Linked DNA regions of Oryctolagus cuniculus. The protein of the gene in region 1 interacts with the protein of each later gene in a biochemical or structural test. Links are inferred from orthologs where the notes say so. Each region holds a gene or a part of one and is shown on either strand. Other genes may lie near its edges.

Region 1 (3,500 bases):
CGGAGGAACTTATGAATCTCTCAAATTAGAAAAAGTTGTGGAGGTAAAAATGTACTGGGCTTTTCATAAAGACGCCTTCCACAGTTCCTCTAGTTGTAACTATGGACACCATATGTGCAGTCAGACATGATGAAAACCAGTTTAAGTAAGTCTCGAACAATACAATAAACCTTTTTGCCAGTAAAAAGCACAAAACAAAAAAACACGCCTGCTTCTTTATTTGTGCACCACTGAAACTTCTTATTTATTCACTTTAATTCTTCATTTACACAAAAATGCTGTAATAAAATATCTGTACACTACTTCTGTTACAAATATAGATAATATTTAAAGTGACTTTATATATTCTAATGTAGGAGTTTCACGCTCTAAAATGGGAGTGAACACATGATAATTCCTCACCAGTTGTCGCAATAAACAGTTCCATCTGTTTCCCTTAGTCTTAAACTATTGTATTATAAGATGTTAATATAAGGCAATGAAATGAAGTTATGTTAATCCCCTTAATTTTTCTATCAATTTACTAATGGCACACAACCAAAATAATTACTAATGCATTGCTTTTTTCTCTGTCATTAAGATTAATACTAATTGAAAACCAATTATACAGCAGATCAACACAGTTTTAGTATTGCATTAGTTGTTAAACCAGCAGTAAAAGATTCTTAGATTCTTTAATGTCTCTTCATGATCAGCATGGTTGCTTTTGGAAAATCCACAGTCAACATGGGGTAGTATCATTGTTTTACTCATAGCAACAGGAAAATATTTTATAAAAGGTCAAAAAATGAAAATGAATATCAAAATGTGCATTATGTATAATTTCTTTATAAAGCTTAGGGGAACTGCTTCATATATTTGCTGTTTACTCAATCATAATTCAATTTTAGCAGGAAAACTGTATAATTGGGGAGGTACAATTTTGAATATTCAAAACTTTTAAATGCTGGGAATATTTTAAAAGATTTTCAATACAATTTTTTTTTTTTTTACTGTGGAGAGGAGGTGGGTTGCAAAGTTGATACACATTTATGAAACTCCAAGATTTTCTTCTTTATTTTATATTTTCTTTTTCACCTAATTTGCTAAACACATAGATCTTTGGTTACCTTTACACTTACTTTTCTTTCTCTACTAACCAGTTTAGCACATAAGAATTTTGCCCATGTGATGATAAAATCTTATATATCCCCCCCCCAAAAAAAAAAGGAAAACTGGATTTATCTATGCAAATAAATACTCCTTCTGGGTCTAGGTTCACAAAATGCAAGAGGAAAGAAAAGGTGATACTAGGTTATAAGAAAACCATTTCCGTATGAGAAAAATACTCAAAACTCAAATTAACATTAGGAAAAGTCATCAACACGCCAAGTTCCACAGTCTGTACTCTGAGGGGAGAACAAGGGTGCTTGGGTTGGCTCAATTCTGGCAGGCAATTCAGGAGAGAACCATCAAAGTGACTGTGCCTTTTGTCCGCTTAAGAATGGCAACAGCTTCTTCGTGGGTTACCCCTTCTAGACTCTGTCCGTTGACGGCAATGATCTGATCACCCCTTTTTAGACGCCCATCTTCGGAGGCTGCTCCCTGAAATTACAAAGTAGGCTTGTTTATGTCCCCCAAATGCTGCCGCACAGCCACACAACAGAAGCAGATCTAAACAAGAAAGTAAATTGCTGTGTGTACACACAGTACTCCTGCTGCTCCACAGGTGTTCCGCAGCTACCAGCAATGATGAACATACACAAAACAGCCCTTTTACCTAAAGAGTTTCAGCCCTGAGATTCTAATGTGAGCGGGAATTCTAAAGTCAATAGCTGAGCTGCGTGGTTTTTTGGCTGTTCAGCACAGCAGTTGGTAGGAACTCAAATTAATAAAGAATATTTGGGAATCTGCCTAGGAGGAGAGATTTCACAGAATGCAGGATTTTCTATCCTACAAAGAAAACCTACAGAAAGAAGCCAAAGGTTTAAGACAGAACAAAAGCAGTTTTATAGGACAAGGACAGAACTATAAAACCCAAGGTTTTGCAGAAGCAACCAGCCCACATAAACACTGACTGGAGCAGGATAAGGCCTGACTCCTGCATGTAGAACCTACTGCTAATTCTAATTTTTTTCCCCTATGGCTTTGAAAATGCTGTTCAAGCTGTCTTAGTTGTTACTTCCTAAGGGTAGATGGTTTCTTCATTTCCAATGGGGCCTAAATGATTAAGATTAAACACACACATTGCTGTTTAAAAGAGAACCACATCTTAAGGCATGCTTATAGAATACAATTATGCAATTAAATATCTAAGATTAAAAATATGGAAAAGTTAATGAGGAATCTATAATGATGAAATTCTTAAAATATGTTCTAACTAGCATGCCTTAAATAAATTGTTCCTAGGCTGAGGAAAAGGACTGCGTGACTTTTCTATTCACTGGCAAATGCTGTTTATATTTTTGGATATACCAATAGCTTAGGAAAAAAAAAACTCATAAATTAAACCCATAGCTAGCTTGCTGTAGCTGTAGTGCTTTAAACTGGTTGGAAATAATAAATTTACCTCCCTCCAAAATAGAATGAAGCTTCCATAGATTGAAGGACCATAGTACTAATATAAAGCCCCTATAAGAAATATTTGAAGGATTTGTCTTGCTCCTTTACATCATAAAATTATGAAATTCTGAATTTTCTCCTGTAGGTAACTTTACCCAACTTTGTAGCTCTTGGGAAAATATCTTAACAACATATTAGTAATATTTATGTGGGTTTAAATTATTTTAATAGTTTCACCAATGGTACAATATCTTTATTTTTACTCTAAACATTCTCAAGATAGAACTTCCTCTACAATTACAACTATATATAAGTGGCCTTCTTTTTTTAAAAAAATCAGATTTTGTTGATCACAAATAGTTGATTAAAGATGACAGAGTGGCTCATATTCCTCCAATATTTTAGTGGTTAGATTTCTATTTTACTGAATGAATTAGACTTGTAAAATAAATGCCATATTGGTTAATTTGTGTATGTATTTGATGTACATTACTTTGCCTATTTGATATTTCATAACAAAAAATGCAAAGAAAATAATTCCAGTTCTTTATGGCATACATACTTAAAAGGTCTCATTTTCAAAAGCAATCATGTGTAACTTGCATTCAAAGGAGAAAAAAGGGCTTTCCTAACCACAAAGTTCATTAATAGTGTTATGTATACTGTCAAGAGTTTCCACGGAGCTTCAATTTGAGTCTATTTTCCTTTAAACATGACTAAACCTCAAACTGGACAAAAATATTTAATGACCTATTTCTGTAGGGAGTTTCGAAAGAAAATGATCAACTGTTAACCATTTGGCATTACCTCAGGCCATAAACTAATAAGCCAGCTGCTGACCACTATTAATGAATTTTTCGGGGCAAAGCAGTTGGTTAGAATGTGCAAGCTTACCTTTGCAAACACAGTTTTAACGTAAATGGGTAAGTCTCCATGAGGGCTGCCATAGCCTCCTACTA
Region 2 (3,500 bases), on another chromosome or scaffold:
CAAGAGGGTGGGTGTATGGTCAACCTAGCCAAGAGGGTTGAATCACTTGGTGTGGTGTCATAGCAGGAAGAGAGGCCACAGAGGCCATGGGAAAGCTGAAATGCATTGCTCCTAAGCAAGTTTTGCCACTTAGTTCCATCCACACCTTTTCCTTCTGAGCTATGGAATCTGGTCACCTGGAACTTTTTTCTACACTCTAAGGCACTCTTAGTTCTTGAGTATGAGATCTGCATCCTTAGACTGACCACAGGTTCAGCAATGATAGAAAATGAGGTCTCTGGGAAACACCCAGGTTTAGTGACCTTGAATGTGACTTGGGGAGAATAGTGCCATTATTCCTGTGTGTGTGTTAAACCTTACTAGCATTTGTATGATATGCAAAGCAATACACATTCACATTGGCGGGCAATGACATAAACAGATTTCCTTTCCTAAAGCACTTCTCGTCATTACTATGTTGAAACACATCTTGAGACGGGTAACATAGATACAGGATGTCAGGGCTCAGTGCACTGAAACAGAGCAAGTCTCTTTGGAAAGTCACACTGCCATTTCTAAGGTGATGCTGAAATGTGTTCCCACTCACCTACAGAGATGGTCCAAACGGCAATGATCTTCAGAAAGGCCTTTGTTCTGGAGTTGAAGCGGCTGTGGTGGATGGGATTCTGGATGGCCACGTAGCGGTCAAGTGAGATGGCACAGAGGTGCATGATGGAAGCCGTGGAGAAGAGTACATCCAAGTAAATCCAGACTGCACAGAGCTTGCTGGGCAGAGGCCACCTGTACCCTGGGATGCAGAAGGACCATATCAGGAAGCAGTCTTGCGCCTCTTGGGGTGTGTGGGTCATACCCTGTGATAAGTTTGTCTCAGACAGGCAGAGGTGATGGCAAAGGGCAATGAAAGGAACAGTGCTTGCTAGCAACTGTCTTTAACTACATTAAGTCCTGCTGGCTGTGAATAGGGGGTTCACAAGTTTCTAATACCTGAAATTATGTCAGTGCAGTGAGGCATATTCAAATTGTCCCTCTTGAGGGGCCTTCTCTTCTTAAGATTCATTTGAAAATCAGAATTGGGAGAGACAAATCTTCCATTTGCTGGTTCACTCCCCAAAATGGCTACAATAGCCAAGGCTGGGCCTGGCAGAAACCACGAGCTGCTTCTACGTCTCCCACATGGATACAGGGACCCGAGCATTTGGGCAATCCCCTGCTTTCCCAGACACATAAGCAGGGAGCCAGGTCCCAAGTAGAGCAGCCAGGTATCAAACCAGCACCCACATGGGACGTCAGTGCTGCAGGCGGCCACTTGACCCACTACATCACTGTATTGGGTCTTGACAATTTATGTCAAAAGGATGACTTGCCTCTGTTTTTGCTCCATAACTCTGCCTTTCAAATCTTAAAGTTTGACTTAAAGTATGTACATGCTTTGGGGTCCTCTGTTAGCACAGCTTCCACACTACACTGCTGTTATTTACCCGTACGTGTATTTCTCCAGATTGTAGGTCCCTAAAGTTAGGGACTGTCTCTTAGCCATTGAGTTCCATGGTCCAATCCCATACAGTGATGGTAAAGATAGTGCAAGATGATAACTAAATTAAAAATCCACACTGGGAATATGTCTTTGTTCAGAAGGATGAGATTCTAATAACACTGTTAGTACTAAAGTTGTATTTTGAGTGTGAGGGGATGAATTGAAGAAAAGTATGGATGTCTTTGTTCTGAGTTGCTTTTTGGAGGCAGTTGTTCACAAACTTGAGTGAGCAACAGCCTAGATGGCTGCTTAAAACGGGCTGCTGCACCTGCCGCAGAGGTCCTGACCTAGTGAGGCTGGGGCGGGCCCAAGCTAACTTTTTTTAAGTAGGTTCCAGGTGATGGTGATGTCAACTGGTTCACGATCCCACGTTGAGAGCTGCTGCGTAAGGCAGTGGTTCTCATCCCTGGTTGCACTGTCAGTCAGCAGGCTAGCCTTAGGGTAAGTCCTGATGCCCAGGCAAAGAGCAGCCCAGGGAAATCATTTCAGGAGGGTGGGAAGATGTTGGTTCCAACCATAAAGTGTTAAAAAGACAGACAACTCCATTATTAGGTGCATGATGGCTCACCTGCTGTACTAGAAAGTAGGGCATACTTTATGCATGTAAGCAAAGTGTCCTTCTTTGAGTTTTGGAAGGGAATCGATGGCTATATAACCATTAATCCTGATAACCGTAGGAGCAGTGAGGGTTAGCTCTGCCTGCATGTAAGAAAACTTACAAAGCATACTTTCTATTACAGACCTACAAAACTGAACAAACTTTCCACATACAACTCTGCTTTCCCTACCACACAAATGCTACCAGGGTTATTTAGACAAAGGGTGAAGGATACAAGCCTATTATTTCAGACCCTTTCAGTCAAAATGGGACGAATTTGAATTTAAAAATAAGCCTTCAACACTGCCTGGAGCGGAAGCTGGCTTCTCCTGTTCGGATCTGATGTCTGCTGTTGGAGGGGCTTTCCCCTACCAGGAGGTGGCGGAGGCCTAGATAAGGAGGGGGCACTTCCTTGGGAGGGGTGGCTCCGGTCTCGGGAACCGGTGGCACCCTTGTTGGAACAGGCTAAGTGCAGAGCAGCTGCCGCAAGGGGGCGCCGTTGCACCCCGAGTGGGTGGTACCAGGGGTCACGACTGCCTTCTTGCAGCCGTTCCTGTTTAAGCCACCCCTCTGAGTTGGATTCCGAAGTGGGGCGGGGTTTTGGGTTGCGAGGACCTCTTTCCAGCAAGTCTGGGGAAATGACAAGCAAATTTAATGAGATCATTCGGATGTGATACTTATGGTCAAGGTGGCAGTGGGGGTGGGGCTGGCTTTGCTATGCGCAGCAGCCCTGTGCAAACTGTCTGCCCTCCTTCATCACACACGCTTCAGGGTTGGGATGATTTAAAAAAAAAAAACAAAAAAAACCCTAACCTGTTAGCCCCTCAAGCTTGCCCAACTAATCAAGACGGCTCTTGGAACCTGTACCTGAGCTCTGGGTGACTGGTGATGTTTCAATTGTCCGGCTCTCAATCTGGCTGTATTTTTTTAGCATTTGCAGAAAATATCATGTTCTGTGCCTGGCTGAAGTCGTCCCAGTGTTTATTGACTTTGCTGTGAGGTTTGCCTATTTGAAAACCGGAAATGAAAGCAAGACGGTCTTCTACTCTGCTGTATCCCAGAAAGGAGGCGTTGACACACATGCATTTTTAAAGAGTTAGGGGTATAATTCAAAGGCTCGCTCTCATACTGGCTTCTTAGGGCAGGGAACAGTTAGAACGGGAGTAATCCACTTAGGCTAATTGGGGACTCCTGTAGCATTCAGTCCATTCCATTGCCAGTGCTCTTCCTGCAAATGCTCCAAGCTAACTGGAAAGGTTGGGCCATTCTACGAAAAGTGCGGAAAACTGTGTGACAAAGATAAAACTGCGCTCCCTTGAAGGCTGACTGTTTGGGAGTATAAAGGCACAAACAAAAAGTGATTCAAAA

The links.
Region 2: the proteins of MPDZ (region 1) and HTR2A form a complex in vitro, tested with the Homo sapiens proteins (2 studies listed by IntAct, with this or other methods). The link is inferred for Oryctolagus cuniculus from reciprocal best matches to the Homo sapiens genes MPDZ and HTR2A.

The regions. Positions count from the first base shown.
Region 1 is NC_091432.1:175,926,003-175,929,502, forward strand, and holds the end of MPDZ (multiple PDZ domain protein), read right to left. Parts: coding exon 3,436-3,500; intron 1,585-3,435; coding exon 1,438-1,584; 3' UTR 216-1,437; downstream 1-215. UniProt on the Homo sapiens protein: Member of the NMDAR signaling complex that may play a role in control of AMPAR potentiation and synaptic plasticity in excitatory synapses. Promotes clustering of HT2RC at the cell surface.
Region 2 is NC_091440.1:65,861,964-65,865,463, forward strand, and holds part of HTR2A (5-hydroxytryptamine receptor 2A), read right to left. Parts: intron 788-3,500; coding exon 587-787; intron 1-586. UniProt on the Homo sapiens protein: G-protein coupled receptor for 5-hydroxytryptamine (serotonin).